3 linked regions of the Caenorhabditis elegans genome follow. The protein of the gene in region 3 purifies or fractionates together with the protein of the main gene of each other region. This does not show direct contact. Each region holds a gene or a part of one and is shown on either strand. Other genes may lie near its edges.

Region 1 (5,004 bases), 6.1 Mb from region 3:
CTATTGCTAATGTAAGTTTCAAAAACATACCCTAAACGTTTTAAAACTTTCAAATTCCAGGTACAAAATGGAAACGTACAAGACTATGAAATCGCCATCTCTGAAGCTAAAAAGGCTTATAACGATTGGTGCGAGGTACCAGCACCACGACGTGGAGAAATCGTCCGTCAAATCGGAGACAAGCTCCGTACGCAGTTGCAAAACCTGGGAAAGCTCGTGTCCCTCGAGATGGGAAAAATTTCTGCCGAAGGAGTTGGAGAAGTTCAAGAATACGTCGATATTTGCGACTACGCTACTGGACTCTCTAGATCACTTGAAGGAAAAATCTTTCCTTCTGAGCGTCCAGGACACGCTCTTCTCGAACAATGGAATCCACTTGGAGTTGTTGGTGTGATTTCGGCTTTCAATTTCCCATGTGCAGTGTATGGATGGAATAACGCTTTAGCTCTTGTCACAGGAAATTCTGTTGTCTGGAAGCCAGCTCCATCCACACCATTGACAGCTATTGCTGTGACCAAGTAAGCTCGCTTATTTCATAATTGTAATCACTAAATAACTATTTTCAGACTTGTCGAGGAGGTTCTTGTTGCCAATAATGTAAATCCAGCTCTCTGTTCCCTTGTCTGTGGAGAGGGTGATGTCGGTCAAGCTCTTGTGAAGGATAAGAGAGTCAATCTAGTTTCATTCACCGGTTCATCAGAAATTGGAAAGATCGTTGGACAACAAGTTCAGGCTCGTTTCGGAAAGCTTCTACTCGAGCTCGGTGGAAACAATGCTATCATTGTTAACGAGGATGCTGATTTGAACATGGTTGTACCGGCAACAGTTTTCGCCGCCGTTGGAACTGCTGGACAGAGATGTACAACCACGAGAAGACTCATTGTTCACGATAAGGTTTACGATCAAGTTCTCGAGAGATTGAAGAAAGCTTATGCTCAATTTGAATCAAGAATCGGATGTCCATTGGATTCCAACACAATTATTGGCCCACTTCACAACCAACAGGCCGTTGGAAAGTACAAGGCTTCAGTTGCCGAAGCAGTTGCTTCTGGAGGAAAGATTGAGTACGGTGGAAAAGTTCTTGAGAGGGATGGAAACTTTGTTCTCCCAACAATTGTCACTGGATTGAAGCACGATTCTCCAGTTGTTCTTCGCGAGACTTTTGCCCCAATTCTCTATGTTCTGAAGTTCTCAACCCTCGAGGAAGCTATTGCAATCAATAATGAAGTTGATCAAGGATTGAGTTCTTCTCTATTTACAACAAATATTCAAAATGTTTTCAAATGGATGGGGTGAGATTTTCTGAAATTGTGAATTTAAAACTAACATTTAATTTTCAGACCAAAAGGAAGTGACTGTGGAATCGTCAATGTCAACATTCCCACATCTGGCGCAGAGATCGGAGGAGCCTTCGGCGGAGAAAAGGAGACCGGTGGAGGTCGCGAATCAGGATCCGACTCCTGGAGGCAGTACATGAGACGATCCACCTGCACGATCAATTACAGCAAGGAACTTCCTTTGGCTCAGGGAATTAAATTCGAATAGCTTAGTTTAGATTTTCTGTAAATATTCATTTCTCATTCAATTTGAGATGTTTTTTTTTCATGCATAATTATTCTCAGTTCCGTTCTAAAATTGCGTGTAATTCAACTCTTGTCCTCTCCTTTTGTGATTTGAATTTTTGTGCCATATCATTCCAAATGCTTAGTTTTTTTTTTAATGTTTGTTCAATAAACTTCCTTTTTTATTCATTCCACAAAATAAAGTGCAACATATTTTCAGCATATATGTCATAAAATTGACGAGACTGGTGAAAAACCGTACGCATACTTGAAAACCGATAAGCTGATTGGTTTCATCACTTTAAGTCATTTCCTAAAACTATAAATTCAATTTCACGCAGATTCTTCTCCGAATCTTCCGCTTGTTTTCTGCCCCAACGCAAGTTTTACTTTTTTTAAATACAATTATTATAATGATGGCATTTTTGTATGTTTAGGTGATGCCTGTTTTATAAATTAAGAGTTTTTTCTAAAAATGTTTTTAAACAACTTTAAACTAATCCACTTAGAAAGTCTGTCAAATTGAATTTTATTGATTGTTTTGGAAACAAACAAACCTCACAATTACAAAAACGCTTTCATTGTAAATATTGACGAATTTATCTCGAATATATTTATTTTTCTCTTAAAATAACTATTTTTACAGCATAAAAAGTGCCCGAAAAATGGCAACTGAAGCTGTCTACGGAAGTTGGGATAGTCCGATCACACCAGATCTCTTCGGAAAATGTAATTGCAAGTCTATCTGCGAGATGCAAGTTGTCGGTGGCAATGTCTACTGGATTGAACAGAATTCAGTAACTGGAAAACGAGAGCTTTACTCAAAACCAACGAATGGAGATACTCGTACACGCTGGGCTGATGGTCAATCTGTTCAAACTGCAATTCACGAGTACGGAGGAGGTGCTCTACATGTTCTTGCTGATGGATCAGTGCTGTTTGCTACGATCGAAGGAGTTTTCTATCAAAAGTCGGCGGATTCCGGAGTTGAGCAATTGGCAGAAGGAAATAATCGAATGTTTAGGTCAGGGATAATTTAAATGGTGTATAACTTTCAAAAATAAATAAAAAACATTTTCAGATTCTCCGACTTCTCAGCCACTGACACCCATGTATTTTGTGTTAATGAAACCCACCAAGCTGATGCAAAATTTCCCGAAAATCGACTAATCTCCATCGACCGAGCAACCAAGAATCAAAACGTCATAGCTCACGGAGCCGACTTTTACGCCTATCCAAGAGTCTCCCCGGATGGAAAAAAGCTTGTCTGGATGCAATGGAGCCTTCCAAATATGCCATGGGACGAGACATCCATCCGAATGGCTGATCTCAAAGGTGGAGAATCCAGCAATGAGGTGACGCTGAAGGACGGAACTGGAAAACAAATCAACTATTCCGAACCAACTTGGGATGGTGATGAGCTTTTAACTGTGAATGATAGCACAAACTGGTGGAATGTGTATAAATCAGCTGCAGAGCCAAATTCCGTCGAGAAGAACCTGAATCCAATTCAACGAGAGATCAGCTACCCGCTTTGGCAGCTTGGTTTCAGAAATTATGTTCTGAATAAAAAATATTTGGTGAGAATTTTAGATTGGAAATTCAAAACATTCTTCAAATATTTTAAACCTAAGTTTACAATTTTCAATATAATTAGTTGAACTAAACACAAAAATTCGAATTTTTAAATTGACCTAATGAAATTTAAATATTTCAGGTAATGAACGCAGACGGAATTTTGTATGTCCGATCGGGAGATGTTACTGTAGAGATTCCAACTCCAGGCTATACTGTATTTGGATATCTTTCACTCGACCAGAATGGTTCTGATCTTTTCGCAATTGCTTCTGGACCAAAACGAGCTTCAAGCGTTATTTCCATCGATCTCGCGAACAAAAATTTCCCATTAAAAGTTCATCGCGAATCCCGAGATTCTTCGGAAATCGACGCTCTCGAGATTTCGGAACCAGAAGAATTTGTGTTCAAATCGGATGGAGTTGATGTTTCTGGTTATTTTTATCCACCGAAAAACTGTTCATATTCTGCTCCAGCTGGAACACTTCCTCCAGTTTTACTTCTCGGACATGGTGGCCCGACGGCTCCAGCTCAGAATAATTTGGATCTTAAAAAACAGTTCTTCACGTCGAGAGGTATTGCTGTTTTTGATGTAAATTATCGAGGATCAACTGGATTTGGAACTGAATTCCGGAGAATGCTTTATAAAAATTGTGGAGTAGCTGATAGAGATGATATGTTGAATGGAGCAAAAGCACTTGTTGAGCAAGGAAAAGTGGATGCCGAAAAAGTTCTGATCACTGGAAGTTCATCTGGAGGGTAGGAATTTAATATTATAGTCATTGTTAAAGTTTTATAAATATTTTTATTCAGGTATCTGATTCTGAGCTGTCTTATCTCACCGAAAAATATCATAAAAGCAGCAGTTTCTGTGTATGGAGTTGCTGATCTATTGGCTTTAGATGAAGATACTCATAAACTGGAAAGATGTTACAATGAGATGCTTATCGGAAAATATCCTGAGCAAGCGAGCATTTACGAAGAAAGAAGTCCCATTTATCATATTGATAAAATTAGAACTCCTATTGCATTCTTGCATGGAAGGGAGGATACGGTAGTACCGATGAGCCAATCTATCACAATGTATGAGAAGATCCGTGCTAGTGGAGTTACAACTGCTCTGATGCTTTTCGATGGAGAAGGACATGGATTTAGGAATGGACAAGTGATCAAGGAAAGCACCGAAGCCACTTTCTACTTTTTGATGAAGGCCGTTGGAATTGAACCATCAATTAGTTCGAAGATCGAAATTGTTAATCCGAAGCATTAGATTTGTTTTTGTTTAAATTGTTATCTATAAAATTTCAGCTTTTAAAAAATGCATTGCTTTATTTATTTGAAAACCAAATAAATTATAGAAATTAATATTCACAGAGAAACTGAAGATTGGATATCACGACGCGATTAAATAGTAGAAATTATGATTGGGAAGGATCAACATTGATTTGCCTATTGCATGTTGGAGAGGACAGTTGACAGACGTTCGTAGAATGTAGAGTAGAGAGTGGTGGCCTGGTAGATGCTCGAAGTGTCGGCAAACTCGCTGAAATCAAGAAAATAAATGATGTGATTTAAAAGTTAAATCCCTACCGAATCGAGTGCATAGCCAACTGTGGGCATCCTACATCGACAGTCTGCAAGCCAAGTTTTGTGGCAAGAATCGGTCCAACCGTCGATCCACAAGGAGAATCATTGCGAACGACGACAACTTGAAGAGGAACTTGAGCTTCGAATGCAACTTGCTTGAGAGCAGCGTGTGTGGTTGAAGTTGTTGCATATCGTTGATTGACGTTTACTTTGACGACGACTCCACCATGGAATGCTGGACGATGGTTCTCTTCGTGTTTTGCCGAATAGTTTGGATGCG
Region 2 (8,019 bases), on a different chromosome or scaffold from region 3:
GGACGCACTGTATGTTGCAGTGTTTCAATACATTTTTATTAGGCGGTTTACAAATTTCCCACCGTTGCGCTTCAGTTTTATGTATTTTTAAATTTTCATTTCTGTCTAATTCACAGACTTTTGCTTGCTTCACTGTTTTGTATACTTTTTTTTGAAACACCGTACTTCACCGTGCCAAAATTTTTGCAAAAAATGTTTTAAAAAATTGTAACCAAATTTGTCTTGATTAGAAATTTTGACTTAGAAATTTTGAAAATTGATTGTTTTTAAAAAATCGGAAAAATTGAAAAAAACCCCAATATTAAATTTTATGTGAAAAAAACATATTAAAAGCGCTCAACTTGCATTTCAAATCGAGACTAACTTGAAATGTGAATAAATTTACCGATTGTAGAAAAACTTCAAAACTGCAAATTTAAGCAAAATTGCACCAGTTAACAGTTAAGCTATTAACGGCTTACGTTTGCTTAAAGTTTGCAAAAAAATGTTTAACTATTTCACTAAAACTTCATTAGGCGTTTCAATAAATTTTATATAATACAATGAGAAGCAATGTGAAAATCCAATAAAATTCAAATGAAAGATTGATAACATGCCTCATTTTACTATTGGTATGAGTTTTCTATTAGTATTGTAACAGTATTAACATGTAGCAATATTAACTGTAATTTCCCCATATATTTGTGGAGATTTTTATGCTTAAGGTGGATTTGAATGACTGTTCTCATGAGGAAATATGAACAACTTAATATTCAAATTTGTTTATATTTCCAATAATAAAAAAAAAATAAAAATAAAAAAAATTTCGCATGCTGAAAGACGCCGAAAGTTTTTTTTTCATCGTCGACCAATTTTTTTTAGCGAGTGACATTTGCCGTTTGCCGTTTGCAGCACCTAAAATAAATAAAAAATAAATAAAATTGTTGTTTAAACCTTTTTATTAGTGGAAAACGTAATAAGAAATTTGCAAATTTAATTAACCCAAGCTGAGTTTTTCTAAAAATTTGCTATATTCGCGATACATTTTTTTACTGTTTCAAGGAATCCTCATGGAGATTTTCAATAATTTACAGTTGATCCCATCTTCATCAATAATTTTGTCCTTCAAATTTTGGAATTTGTCGCGCGCACAACCCTGAATAATTGTTTATTATTTTTCTGTTAAGCCTAGTATCAGAAGATAAATTAAAAACGAAAAAACTCACTATTTTCAATTTCAAATAAATTCACGTTTTGTAGTCAGATCGGTTTTCCAAAATTAAAAAAAAATGTTATCAAAATATCTGTGCACTTTGAATCAGTCACACAATGTTCACAAATTCATCTCTAAATTCAAAAATTAATCTCAACCAGAAACGGTACTTGTAGTTTGTATCAGAATAATTTCCTACGTGTTTCTAGTAGATTTCTAGTTGGTTCATTGAACAATCATCTTGATGACTGCTAGAGATAAGACATAGAACAGCTAGTGATACCTTATCAATGTCATCCCCTTCTGTTGTCGATTGTCTTTTTCATTTTTGATTTTTGTGTTCAGTTCGTTATATAAATAGAGAGTAGTGGAAAACTGACAAAGTTCCTGCAAACTAAACCCGTCTGAGCCAAAATTAATTGTTTTCAAAACAGTTTTGTCACCTTTCCAAATAATCCTTTTCAAAAACAAAATTATTTTCAGTTTCACTGTGTGTTTATAAGTTTCACATTTTTCAGTTTTTTTTGGTTTTGCTACATCCGCGTTAGTTTTTTAACTTACAAATTTTCGCTGTATTTTTTTTTTAATTTTTACATTCCCCTTTTTAGAGCTGTGACAAAAAAAGTAATTTTTTCTGAAGCTAAAAATGTTTGCCCAAAAGTTTTCGTGCAACTTGTTTTCAAAGCTACAAAAATAGTGTCAAACTTGAAAAAAATTTAATTTTGCTATAGTTTAATTCAGCAAAAAATTGTATGTATGTAACTTTTTAATCCATACTACTGATTTGATTATATTGTTTGATTTTAAAAAAAAGTCAATATTTGCAGATCAAAAATCCCAAAAACCAAAATGTCCCCAAACTGTGGTTTAAAATGTCATGGTGGTCCAGGATATGCATCTCCAGCTGATGCTATAAAAGGACCACGAGAAGAAGTTTTATTTGTGACTGCTCCAAATGCAGCTGATGGTCCTGATGCCATTTTTACAGTTGATGTGAATCCAGAGAGTGACACTTTTTGTCAGGTAAATTTTATTTGTAAAGTTGATTTTTTTTCTTGTTTGGAGGAAAAAAATACTGTTTCAAAAAGACGTATTGAGTTTTAGGAATAACTAATTTTTTGATTGTCTTTTGTAGATCACGTCCATAAAGCTTGAAATAACTGTTTCTATATCAGAAAAATTGTTCAAATTACCGGAATAAAATTGCAATTTTGCAATTTTCATCTCTGTTGCATCAGCCAAAAATAAATCAGGAAACTTTGATTTGATCTCTCTGATTTCAAGGTTATCTCAAGCTTAAGAGTTTTAAATCGATTTGCACGATATATGATTGTATAGTAAAAATTAAAAATTATTATTTAATTGAAAAAATTATCGGTTTCAAAATATTGATATCCACTCGTAGTTTTAGCATTTAGAGATCGATCAATCATAACATTTTCCAGTAAAATTAATATTTTCAGGTGATCAGCCGAGTTGATGTGCCACATATTGGTGATGAAGTCCATCATACTGGATGGAATGCGTGCTCTTCTTGTCATGACAAACCAACTGAGAAGAGGTTAGTTAAAATATTTATTGTTTTAGGATGATACTATTACTCTATTAGTACAGGTGGCAAAATTAAATCAACTGTTCGAAACATCAAGTTTTGTTTAAAAATTTTTTTAATTAAATTTTCATTTTTGAAGTGTGGTTTTCCGACTTTTTTTTTTTAAAAAGTGGTCACAATAACATGTTTTTTTTTATTCTTCAAACAAAATCATCATATATTTGATAAATCTATAGATTCTCCCTTGTTTGTTTTTCTGATTTTTAGATTTTCTCAAGAAAAAACTGATAAACCTAAATTTTTCCACGACCCTTGATACGGATGCAAAAGCTTTGTAATAAAATCAGATCAGAGCGACATTCACGAGAAGATCATTTTTATAAATTTAGTTAGACTTGAACCAATTTCTTGAAACAGTTTTTTAATTCGAATTTACAAACTTCACATTTCAGTCAACTGAAAGATCAATAAATTTTTAGATCGGAGAACTTTCATTAACAAACCAAAACAGTAGAATAATTTCTAAATAATTTCAGATCCCATTTGATCGTTCCTTGCCTGAACTCTGACCGTATCTACATTATCAACGTAGAAAATGAGCGTAAAATCTATCTTGAACATACAATTGAACCATCAAAACTTCATTCTCTAAACCTTTCATTTCCACATACTTCACATTGTCTTGCCGATGGAAATATTATGATTAGTACTTTGGGAGAAGCTAATGGAACTCCATCTGGTAACTTTTTGTTGTTGGATGGAAAGACATTTGAGCCGAAAGGAACATGGCCAGCTGACGAGAAGACTGTTCCGTTTAACTATGATTTCTGGTACCAGCCAAGGAGAAATGTGATGATTTCTACGGAATGGGGATCACCGAATCATATTAAAAAGGGATTTAATCCAGGTGGGAAAACTGAAAATACTTTTAAAAAATCACTGTTTCAACACCTCTTGTTTCATTTTACCAAAAATTAAAATTATTCCTTGCGGCATGAGCCATCAGCATCACTAAAAACCAAAAAGTTACAAATTTTTTTAAAACATGAAATTTTCCAGCTCACGTCGGAGAGGGTCTCTACGGAAACAGTGTTCATATTTTCGAATGGGACTCTAAGAAATATCTTCAAACAATTGATCTACCACAGCCACTTGGAGCACTTCCACTTGAAGTTCGATTCCTCCATGAGCCAACCAGTGAGCACGCTTTTGTGGGATGTGCTCTTGGATCAGGAATTTTTAGAATTCATCCTGTTGAGGAGGTGAGTAATATTCAATAGAATTTTCAGAAAAATTGAAATGTTTCAATAAGTTATTATTTGTTTAGAAACTGAGATTAATATGTTAAAACCGTAGAATAGAATCAAGATTAAAATTATTGTAAAACTAATTTGCCGAGCTCGGAAAATTTTGAGAACTGCCGCACATCCTTGATTGGGAGGTAGCAAAGTTTCCAAAACTGTTGCTTCTTCCAGAGTACTCAAATTTTATTCCATGAAAACTCTTCAGTAGAGTGTTTGATTTTTCAAAAGTTTCAGTCAATTGAAAATGGTTAAACAGTTTTGGAGATCAATGCCGTGATTTTACGAAAACATTGAAACATTCAAAAAACTTTTCAGTTTCAATTTGTCCTCATAACACACTCTGTTGTTTTTAGTTTAGTTCTGTTGGTATTCCTGTCATCTATTGAAATAGATCCGGTTTTTAGAATTCATCCTGTTGAGGAGGTGAGTAATATTGAAAAGAATTTTTAGAAAACTTTTAGAAAACTGTTTCAATAGGTTATCATATTGTATCTTATTGGAAGTTTATTTCATTTGCTAATCCAAAAAAACGTATGAAATCAAATATAAATGATCTTCGTAGGGGGAGTTGACAATTTATCAATAGTACTGATATTTTCGTTGTCAGTAATTGAATAGCAGTGTTGTAAGCTGATGTGTAACTTTCTGGGATCACCGAAACATTGCATTAGAAACTTTCAAGTTTAAAAATAAATAAATTGTTTCAATACGTTGTTATCAAAACTTCCGTTCTATTCAATTGATTTTTTTTCATTCCCGAAGTTTTCTGAGCAAGTTCTTTGGCAAAATGACTAACTTTCGAGAAAAATGTGGACATTTTGAGAAAATCAGAGCGCTTTCGTACATTTCAAATCCTTTAATGCTTTGGCATACATGATTAGGGCATAATTTGAATTTGAAATTCAGAGAAAGTTGTGTAGACCAAACTGCTATTTTTCTTTTTTTTCATTTGGAAGAACCAATATTAATTCAAAATAGTTTCAGTATTTATAGACTACTTGAAACATATAATAATTTTTAAAAAATATCTTTGAGTGTTTTTAATAATTTATTTTTAAATCAGTTTATAGATTCATTAAACGTTTAACAATGATGCAAATACTAAAAACGTATTTTTCCGAGTTTTTTAAAATTAGGTTAGTGAAACAGTAGATTTTTGATGAACCTTTTTTTAAAAAGCAGCATGCATTTAGTTTTGACAAAAAGTTCAAATCGATTTTTTCTGCGTGACTGTGAATCAAGAAAACTCGGTCAATTAAAGAAAGAAAAAATATTTTTTTTTCGACACTAAAAAATAATTTTAAAGCGCGGACATTATAGTCTCAGTGAAACTTTATTCAAACCAAAACGTTTAATCAGCTAATTGAAACATTAAAAATTTTATGATTTTGTTAGTTTTTCTAGCAATGTCAATGCAATCAAATAATTTTCAAGTAAGATGTTTAATGAGTTATAGACTTTTTTATTAAATTTTTGAAAAAAAAACCGATTTCAGATTTAAGTAAAATTATCTCTGCTTCTGCTGCATTGCTGCGAAACAAAAATTCCTTTCTGTGCAAAGTATAGTCTCACTGGAAATCAAGTTCGAGTGACAATTAGAAATCTCACCGGGTTTTCTAGATCATCTGAAACATATAATTTTAAAAAATTGACACCTTGTTCAACTTGAAACATTTAATCAGCCAATCGAAACATTAAATGTCTCATGATTTTTAAAGCTCTTTTAGAACAGTCGATAAGTCACGCCACAGTTCAATTGAAAACAATTTTCTAGCGAGATGTTAAATGAGTTTGTTGAAACAGTAGATTTTCGTGTAAACTTTTGAAAACAAAAATTACGTTTTAAATAAAATTATATCCACTTCAGCAGTGTGCCCTTGAAACAAAAAAGCTCGATCAAAAAATTTATTTTTTGTGAATGGCCACCAACTTTTCAGGCAAAATTACAAAAAAACATAAAATTTACTGTTTCAAAAAGTTAATATAATTTTGGCAGCGCATATACCTACACTTATTTCGACAGTTCGCGATAACCTCTTTTTGAAAATAAAGTTTTTCAGAAAAGTTGCTTCTTTCCTGTTCTCGAGGTGTTCTTTTAACACACTTTGTATTTTTTTTCTTGTAAAATCTCAAAATTCTGATAGTCAGTATGAAAATAGTTGCCAAATGTTTGTTGAATACTACTGAAAACAAATCTTCAGTGATACGTTGAATGAGAAACATTCAATTTTTCAAATAATTCCAGAACTCAACAACCCATGCAGCTACTCTCGTTGCCTTCATTCCTTCTAAAAAAGTAAGTGGATGGGCTCTTCCAGAAATGCCAGCTCTTATAACTGATATCCTTATCTCAATGGATGATCGTTTCCTGTATGTCTCGTGTTGGCTTCATGGAGATATTCGTCAATATGACATTTCTGATCCATTGAAGGTGAAATTGAATTCTCAAGTTTATATTGGAGGAAGTGTACATACGGAATCAAATGTAAAAGTTCTAGAAGGTGAAAAACCAATTGAAGCACTTTATGTGAAGGGACGGAAAATTGAAGGAGGTCCACAGATGTTACAGTTGTCATTGGATGGAAAGAGACTTTATGTTACAACTTCTTTATACAAGAAATGGGATGATCAATTCTATCCAGAACATGTCAAGTGAGTGCTACTTATGAAAAAATTTAGAATTATTTCTGAGAAAAAAGTTACCGTTTCATAAATGTAGTATATTTTGAGCAAACTATTTCCGCTCACTTGTGGGGCTATTCGCGAAATGTAATTCTTTTTTATTCATTTTATTCATTGAACCTTTGTCCTTACGAAACAAATTATCTCGAATTTTGTAGTTTACACTAAAAATACGCTCATGGTGAAATTATTGTTTAGAAAAAAAATCACCGTTTCAAAAATCTTTCATATTTGCAGCGATTCTCTCTCACTTGCTGAGTTGATTTTATCACGAATTCATGTTTTTCTTTGTTTTTCTAGTCTAAATAATTTTTAAAAAAAAGAACAACTATGAGAAATCGATAAAACAGTTCAATAGCTGCAGCACCGAAAGTTTGAAATTACACTACTCTTTAAAGGCGCACACACGTTTTCCGTTGAAAAAATAGTCACGTCGAGACTTGGTAATGTTTCTTTTCGTCCGCTTAATAATTCATGATAATTTCAAAAAAAAAACACCAAATTCGTCCTACTTTCTCAATGGAGCGCGTTTGCAACCCTGTCATTTTTCAGATCTGGCGCCACAATGGTTCAAGTCAACATTGATCCAGAATCTGGAAAAATGGAAATAAATCGAGACTTTTTGATCGATTTTGGAAAAATTGAAGGAGGTCCCTATTTGGCTCACGAGATGCGTTATCCCGGTGGAGATTGTACATCGGATATTTGGATTTAATTTGGTTTTTTTTAAAATGTTTTGCATAAAAAATTAGCTTGTACATATTCATCACAATTCATTCAGATTTTCAAAAAAAAATTGAAAGGATTTTTCAACTCATGATGCAACTAGAAAAACGGGGGAAACCAGGCGAATAAATATTGAAAAAAGGGGATTTTTGTAATGTGAACGAAGCAATCATCATATATGGTACAAAGAATGTGGCGAGTTGAAATCACGGGAATTTAGTAGAATTGCACAAAAAAATTATGGATTAGAAAGTAGGAAGAAAATATATGAACATCCGGAATTCTCCTCAATAAAAACTGGCTCCTTTTATCGATTGTCTTTTTCATTTTTGATTTTTTGTTCAGTTCATTATATGAATAGACAGTAGTGGAAAACTAACAAAGTTCCTGCAAACTAAACCCGTCTGAGCCAAAATTAATTGTTTTCAAAACAGTTTTGTCACCTTTCCAAATAATCCTTTTCAAAAACAAAATTATTTTCAGTTTCACTGTGTGTTTATAAGTTTTAAAAATGAAAGACATTTGATTCAAATGACCTACAACTTTTCTGAATATCTCAAAAA
Region 3 (7,579 bases):
TCACCTATCTTATTCTATGACTAACCGCTAGATATCACATTTTCTAATTAATTGTTTAATATATTACCTATATGCGAAATTTTGGGATTTTGGCGCCGAAAGAACGGTACCGGGTCTCGACACGAAACAAAATATTTCATTGAATGCGGTGCGCCTTTAAATGAGTACTCATTTCGGCTTGATCTACGTAGATCTACAAAAAATGCGGCAGAGTTCTCAACTGATTTCGCATGGTTAAGAACGTGTTGACGTCACATTTTTAAGGGCAAAAAATTCCCGCATTTTTTTGTAGATCAAACCGTGTTGGGACAGCCTGGCACCACGTGATGAGCACTGTAATTTCAAATTTCCGTTGCTGTCGATTTTTATCGATTTTTATTTTTATGATGAAAAATCCATGAAAATTCCGAGTTTTTAGCGCAAAATCGCAGTACCACTTTCGGGTTCATATGCTTGTAATTCATTCCGAACATGTAGATTTTTTTCACTTTTCTCCCCGTTTCTCTGTACTTGTATTTCAAAATATTATAATAATAATCTATTTATTCATAAATATAATAATCACACAATTGTTTCTACATAAGATTTCTATACACCACCGCTTCTTCTGCCATCTGTTCATTGGATCGTGGCTTTCGCTCGGGCTCCTTATCATGTGACGCAAGTTTTTGGTAGATTTCGTTATCGCCAAAGTCTCCGGCGCGGCGGGGAAGGATATGAATGTGAACGTGCTGAAAATGTTCAAAATTAAATTGGTAAAATGCTGCGGAAAAAAGCCCGTACTGGAACAGTCTGCCCAGCATCCTTCCCATCTTGCACACAAATCGTCGTCGACGTCACATTATGATGCTTCTCCAGCATTGCTTGAACCTTTTTCGCGACGATGAACAAGTCGGCAGTCTCAGCATCAGTCAAGTCGGTCAATCTTGGGACTACTCGTTTTGGGCTTACAAGAACGTCTGAAAATGGGGGAAATTAGCTTAATTTTAATTTTTTTTTTAAATAAATAATTTCACACTAACGTCCATCAGTGACTGGTTTCAAGTTGACAAATACAAATGAGTGCGGAGTACTGTAGAAAATATGATCAGCTGGAATATTGAATCGGGCGAATTTCAGGCCACCAGTTTCAGAAGATTTTTCATTTATGTGAAGTGTGTAGAGATCGGAGCGTCTGTGGGAGAATACTGGTTGCATTTCACGAAGAGTGTCCACGTAGCTCAAGTCGATTTCAGCAAAGCACATGTCTGAAAAATATTGATTTTTGTTTAATTTTAGTAAAAATCGATAATTTTTCTATTAATAAGCTTGTCTAATGTTTTAAAGAATTTTTAGAATTTCTTAAAATTTTCTGGAAATTTCTACTTTTTTTTGAGTTTTCTAGATTTTTTAGAATCAAAAAAAGGTCCGACTTTTCTTAAATTTTCTAGAATTTTCTAAATTTGTTTAAAATTTGTTTAGATTTATTTTTTAATTCTAGAATCTTCTCGAATTTCTTAGAATTTTCCGGACATTTCTAAAAAATTTCTAATTTTTTTCTTAAATTTTCTAGAATTTACTAATTTTTTAGAATTTTCCAGATATATTTTTTTAATTCTAGAATTTTGATTTATATAGAATTTTTTAGAATTTTTCAAAGAATTTACCAGAGATTTCTAAGAAAATTCAAAATTTTTTTGAATTTTCTAGATTTTTTAGAATTAAAAAAAAAGGTCCGACCTTTCTTGAATTTTCTAGAATTTTCTAAAAGGGATTAGAATTTTTTTTTCAATTCTAGAATTATCTAGATTTTTTCAGAATTTTTTTAGAATTTACTAGATATGTCTAAGAAAATTCAATTTTTTTTAAAATTTTCTAGATGTTTTAGAATTAAAAAAATTTCACAAACTTTTCAAAAAAAAATTTTTTTTTCAATGTTCTAAAATTCTCTAGTTTTCAAATCTTTTTTAGAATTTTCTAAAAAATTTCAGAGTTTTTGAGAAAGTTTTGAAAAATTTTTTTAGCATTAAAGAATTGAAATATGTCAGATTTTTCTGAAATTTTCTAGAACTTTCTAGATTATTTTTATAATAAATTTTTTTTTTAAAAGAACGTTCAATTCTAGAACTTTCAAAAAAAAATTCCAAAATAACCATAAAATTTTAGATTTTTTTTTATTTTTCAATGATTTCTACATATTACAGGAACCCTAAATTCTGAGAATACGTATTGCACAACATATTTGACGCGCAAAATATCTCGAAGCGAAAACTACAGTAATCCTTTAAATGACTACTGTAGTGCTTGTGCCGATTTACGGGTTCAATTTTTTAAATGAATCGATTTATCGCTAGAGTACTTAATTAAGCGAAAATTGAGAAAATTCATTTCAAAAATGAAGCCCGTAAACCGACAAAAGCGCTACAGTAGTCATTTAAAGAATTACTGTAGTTTTCGCTACGAGATATTTTGCGCGTCAAATATGTTGTGCAATACGCATTCTCAGAATTTAGTGTTTCTGTAATACAAATCATTGAAAAATTTGAAAACAATGGCACAAAAAACGGAATTTTAGAAAATTATAGGAAAATTCTAGAAATTTTTCGAAATTTAAAGCCTTTTTTTAATTCCTGAAAAGGTTTTTACTTTTTTTGAATTTTCTAGAATTTTTTAGATATATTTTTAAATATTCTAGAGATTTCTAGAATTTCTTCAAATTTCCAGAATTTTTAGAATTTTCTAGATTTTTTCCTAATTTTTTAAGAATTTTTTTTCCAATTTTCTTTTAGAAAATTTAGCACTTTCTAGGCTTTTCTAAAAAATTTTAGACTTAAAAAATGTTTTAAGTTTTTCAGAATATTCCGCACCAACTCTCTCGGAACACTGTGCAACAACAGCGCCCCACGGATCAACAACCATCGAATGCCCATAAGACTGTCGTTTCGGATTGTGGGCCCCAGTTTGAGCAGCCGCCACCACATAGCACTGATTCTCGATTGCCCGGGCACGAAGCAGAGTTTCCCAGTGAGCAAGACCTGTATTCAGTGTGAATGCACTTGGAAATGAGAGCAGTTGGGCGCCGCGTTTACGGTTCCACAAGGACAGCTCTGGGAAGCGAACGTCGTAGCAAATTGAGAGTCCGAGACGTCCGATAGGGGTGTCAACTGGAGGAATCATCTGGAACTCGGAGTAGACAGACAAATTGCCGGAATCGAAGATTTCTGGCAAATCGACAAATTGCCGGAATTGAAAATTTCTGGCAAATCGGCAAATTGCCGGAATTGAAAATTTCTGGCAAATCGGCAAATTGCCGGAATTGAAAATTTCTGGCAAATCGGCAAATTGCCGGAATTGAAAATTTCTGGCAAATCGACAAATTGTCGGAATTGAAAATTTCCGGCAAATTAACAAATTGCCGGAATTGAAAATTTCTGGCAAATCGGCAAATTGTCGGAATTGAAAATTTCTGGCAAATCGACAAATTGCCGGAATTGAAAATTTCTGGCAAATCGGCAAATTGCCGGAATTGAAAATTTCTGGCAAATCGACAAATTGTCGGAATTGAAAATTTCCGGCAAATTAACAAATTGCCGGAATTGAAAATTTCTGGCAAATTGGCCAAATTGCCGGAATTGAAAATTTCTGACAAATTGGCTAAATTGCCGGAATTGAGAATTTCCGGCAAATTAACAAATTGCCGGAATTGAAAATTTCTGGAAAATTGGCCAAATTGCCGGAATTGAAAATTTCTGACAAATTGGCTAAATTGCCGGAATTGAAAATTTCTGGAAAATCCACAAATTGTCGGAATTGAAAATTTCCGGCAAATTGGCCAAATTGCCGGAATTGAGAATTTCTGGCAAATCGACAAATTGCCGGAATTGAAAATTTCTGGCAAATTGGCCAAATTGTCGAAATTGAGAATTTCTGGCAAATCGACAAATTGCCGGAATTGAAAATTTATGGCAAATCGACAAATTGTCGGAATTGAAACTTTCCGGCAAATTGGCCAAATTGCCGGAATTGAAAATTTCTGGCAAATCGGCAAATTGTCGGAATTGAACATTTCTGGCAAATCGACAAATTGCCGGAATTGAAAATTTCTGGCAAATCGGCAAATTGTCGGAATTGAAAATTTCTGGCAAATCGACAAATTGCCGGAATTGAAAATTCATGGCCAATCGACAAATTGCCGGAATTGAAAATTTCCGGCAAATTGGCCAAATTGCGGAATTGAAAATTTCCGGAAAATTGGTCAAATTGCCGGAATTGAAAATTTCTGGCAAATCGGCAAATTGCCGGAATTGAAAACTTAAAAAAAACCTCAGTGCCAGCCTTGCTGAACTCGCTCTCCATCAATCGTACTTTTCCAGGAATCTCCAAATCGAAGAGGTGAAGCTTGTTGTACTCAGCACGAGTTACTCCATCGGAATCTATGATCAGATGGGTGTTCCATGGATGAGCAGCGTCTGATGGATCCTAAACTTCTGAAGTTCAGCCATTATTAATTTTTTCAAGTATTAACCTTGTGATGAAGGCCTCCTAGTGAAAGCCAAATATTGTGTTTTCTCGCCAACTCCCGATATTTTTCCATATATTCACAGTCCGTAGCCATCGCCAAATCGATTTGCTCATTTTTGTTGAGCCCAATGAAATCGAAGCATTCTGGTAGGAAAACCATCTGGAAACATTTTTTTTACATGATTTTAAAAATTATTCGATTTATGATTAAAATTGCCACATTTTTCGGAATTTTCGAAATTTTTTTTTCCTATTTTTAATCCAAAAATTCCCGTTTTTTCGACGGCAGCTTTGCTCCGGGAGCCGTAGAATTTTTACCTCGCACTTCTTTTCTCCGGCTCTTTCGATCATATTTTTCGCGGCTTGAAAGTTCTTTTCCAGATCGTTGTCGCTTGTCATTTGACATACTGCGATCTGAAAATATTCTTGGTTCGCAAAAATTTGGAAAAAAACTTATTTTTTTGGGTCTCGAAACGACCGAATTTTGGGAAACGCGGATTTCTGGCTTCCCTCATAAATTGAAATGGAACAGTTTTGCTGAACTAGGCCATTTTGGCTCGGTCATATCTGGGGTAGATTTACGGCGCGTTGCGTGTCGCGTCGCGACTCGATTGTAAAACTAAATGTATTTGTCCGTGTGGAGTCCTGCAGGCGATTATCAATGGAGCGCGAAAAAATCAATGAGGAAGGCCAGAACCCCGTGAAAAATTCGCAGAAAAAACTGAAAAATTGGAAAAATATTTTTTTTCAAAAATACCATTTAAAACTATCCCAATTTTGATAAAAAAGTTTATAAAATCCAAATTTAACTAAAATTTCGTATTTTGCGCGAAAATTACGGTACCCGGCGGGTCTCGACACGACAATTTTTCGTTGAGGGGTGCGCCTTTAAAGAGAGGTACTGTAGCTTCAAACTTTCGTTTTTTTCGGAATTTTTATCGACTTTTCATAGTTTTTAAACAAATCGATAAAAAAGTTTAAAACTACAGTACTAAATTTGTCAATTTGCCGGAAATGCTCCATAACGGCAACTTGCCAATTTGCCGGAAATTTTCATTTTCGACAAATTGCCGGTTTGTCGATTTGCCGGAAATGTTCAAAAGCGGCAACTTGCCAATTTGCCGGAATTTTTTAGTTCCGGCAATTTGTGAATTTGCCAGAAATTTTCATTGCCGCCAAATTGCCGGTTTGCTGATTTGCCAGAAATTTTAATTTCCAGCAATTTGCCAATTTGCCGGAAATGTTCAAAAGCGGCAAATTACCTGCAGGTCTCACCACGAAAATTTTTGCTACATGTTTTTTTAATAATGCGCCTTTAAAGAGTGGTACTGTAGCTTCAAACTTTCGGAATTTTTTAAATCGATTTTTCATAGTTTTTTTCAAAACAACTCGATTAAAAAAAAAATTTTTTTTCTAATTTGTCGTGTCGAGACCCAGAAATTTCTGGAAAAAAAACCCCCGAAAATCTTACAAAATGCCGTCCAGTCGCCATTGTTCGCCGAAAAACTGTGCTCAGCATGCGGCTGTATAACAAGGAAATCAATTGAAAATTAATTTTCTAGTGTTTTTTGGCAATAATAATTAGGGAAAATGACCAGATTTATGAATAAAAAGTTAAAGCCAAATTTTTCGGGGGGAAAAATCAATTTATACACACTCGGAAGCACCCTAACAGAAGAAAAAACAGTCTAAAAAACACTGAAAAATAATATCTAATTAGATTAATCATCCTTCTTTTTATTATTATTATTATCATGGAGTTTCGTCGTCGTCGGCTCATTGAGCTTCTCATGCTCCTTCTGTAATCGTTGAACTTGTCCAATATGAGCAGTTGTCGCGTGAACACTGTTCTTACGGCTCACACTTCGAACTCCAAGGTGGCGATAGCTGGAAAATATGGAAAATTTTGGGGGTTTTTCAGTGAAAAATAGCCCGAAAAATTGGATTTTTAGCCAAAATCTTCAATTTCTGTCACTTTTTCCTTGAATTTTACTGATTTTTGTGCCAATTTCGATCAAAATAGAGCCTATATAGGCTTAAAAACGCGTAAAAACTACCAAAATCGAGCTTTAAAGCAGCGCCGCACAGAAAAAGATGCGGAGCGTATTTTTGCAACCCTGCGGCACGATTTTTTCCTCCTTTTTGAAAAATTGATCTTTTCCAATAAAATTTCGATTTCACTAGTTTTATTCACTTTTTTCGAAAAATGTGAATAAAACTAGTAAAATCGAAATTTTATTGAAAAAAAAAACCTTTTTTTAAAAATGAGGAAAAAACCGTGCCGCAGGGTTGCGAAATTACGCTCCGCCTCTTTTTCTGTGCGATGCTGCTTTAGGGCTCGATTTTGGTCATTTTTACGCGTTTTTAGGATTATTAAGGCTCTATTTCGACCAAAATTGGCATAAAATCGGTGAAATTCGACATGGAAATTTTGCCAAAATTGGGAATTTTAGAAGAATTTAGCCACAAAAATGTGTTTTTTTTGTCAAAAAATGGATTTTTCCCCTAAAAAAAATGCTCACCGATACCAGCGTCGTCCGTAATGTGCCTTATTCAGCTCATATTCACTTCGGACCTTGTACTCGACTTCTCGAGCGGTCTTCAGTTTTCCCAATCTTCGGAGAGTCCAGAAAGTGGCTTGAATGAGCAAAAGTGTCGTCATGTAGCGGAATGGCATTGCGATCTGAAAATTTAAATTTTTATTATTACACATACGCGAAAAAATACATTTTTTTGGAAAAAAAAATTATTTTTCTGGTTAAATTCTGCTAAAATTCGTAATTTTTTGGCAACATTTCCACGTCTTTTGTAGTATTACATATACAAAAATACTGTAATTGGTCTCGACACGATAACATTTTTTCTTCAATGTAAAAAAGATGTGCGCCTTTAAAGATTACTGTAGTTTTACTTGTTGTAATTTTCTTTGTTCTTCGTGAGAAATATTAAAAAATCGATGAAACTCCACAAAGTTTGAAACTACAGTACTCTTTAAAGGCGCACACCTTTTTAACATTGAAGAATTTCGCGTCTGTGTAATAACCAGGGCTTCCCTTTTTGTTCCTTTTTTCTTTAAAAA

The links. Proteins that work in one complex are often made in the same cells at the same time.
Region 1: the proteins of nft-1 (region 3) and dpf-4 fractionate together in Caenorhabditis elegans (co-fractionation; one large-scale study listed by BioGRID). This does not show direct contact.
Region 2: the proteins of nft-1 (region 3) and semo-1 fractionate together in Caenorhabditis elegans (co-fractionation; one large-scale study listed by BioGRID). This does not show direct contact.

Annotation. Positions count from the first base shown.
Region 1 is NC_003281.10:5,857,405-5,862,408, forward strand, and holds dpf-4 (Peptidase S9 prolyl oligopeptidase catalytic domain-containing protein), read left to right. Parts: upstream 1-1,903; 5' UTR 1,904-1,941; intron 1,942-2,208; 5' UTR 2,209-2,227; coding exon 2,228-2,586; intron 2,587-2,643; coding exon 2,644-3,142; intron 3,143-3,279; coding exon 3,280-3,896; intron 3,897-3,950; coding exon 3,951-4,407; 3' UTR 4,408-4,504; downstream 4,505-5,004. Other genes in the region: alh-9 (Putative aldehyde dehydrogenase family 7 member A1 homolog), read left to right, coding at 1-11, 61-518, 567-1,292, 1,341-1,545; dnpp-1 (Aspartyl aminopeptidase), read right to left, coding at 4,587-4,680, 4,728-5,004.
Region 2 is NC_003282.8:14,049,181-14,057,199, forward strand, and holds semo-1 (Methanethiol oxidase), read left to right. Parts: upstream 1-2,019; 5' UTR 2,020-2,041; coding exon 2,042-2,215; intron 2,216-2,314; exon of another isoform or gene 2,315-2,335; intron 2,336-2,613; exon of another isoform or gene 2,614-2,634; intron 2,635-2,655; coding exon 2,656-2,753; intron 2,754-2,768; exon of another isoform or gene 2,769-2,789; intron 2,790-2,815; exon of another isoform or gene 2,816-2,837; intron 2,838-3,094; exon of another isoform or gene 3,095-3,115; intron 3,116-3,187; exon of another isoform or gene 3,188-3,212; intron 3,213-3,280; coding exon 3,281-3,651; intron 3,652-3,728; exon of another isoform or gene 3,729-3,749; intron 3,750-3,803; coding exon 3,804-4,006; exon of another isoform or gene 4,007-4,471; intron 4,472-4,556; exon of another isoform or gene 4,557-4,581; intron 4,582-4,644; exon of another isoform or gene 4,645-4,665; intron 4,666-4,791; exon of another isoform or gene 4,792-4,812; intron 4,813-4,988; exon of another isoform or gene 4,989-5,010; intron 5,011-5,128; exon of another isoform or gene 5,129-5,149; intron 5,150-5,314; exon of another isoform or gene 5,315-5,335; intron 5,336-5,352; exon of another isoform or gene 5,353-5,373; intron 5,374-5,615; exon of another isoform or gene 5,616-5,636; and 20 more.
Region 3 is NC_003281.10:11,922,330-11,929,908, reverse strand, and holds nft-1 (Nitrilase homolog), read right to left. Parts: upstream 6,024-7,579; 5' UTR 6,020-6,023; coding exon 5,972-6,019; intron 4,915-5,971; coding exon 4,819-4,914; intron 4,661-4,818; coding exon 4,505-4,660; intron 4,459-4,504; coding exon 4,303-4,458; intron 3,157-4,302; coding exon 2,847-3,156; intron 1,248-2,846; coding exon 1,023-1,247; intron 960-1,022; coding exon 784-959; intron 732-783; coding exon 576-731; 3' UTR 531-575; downstream 1-530. Other genes in the region: dolk-1 (dolichol kinase), read left to right, coding at 1-20; Y56A3A.22 (DUF1279 domain-containing protein), read right to left, coding at 6,222-6,387, 7,023-7,183. UniProt on the Caenorhabditis elegans protein: Cleaves A-5'-PPP-5'A to yield AMP and ADP.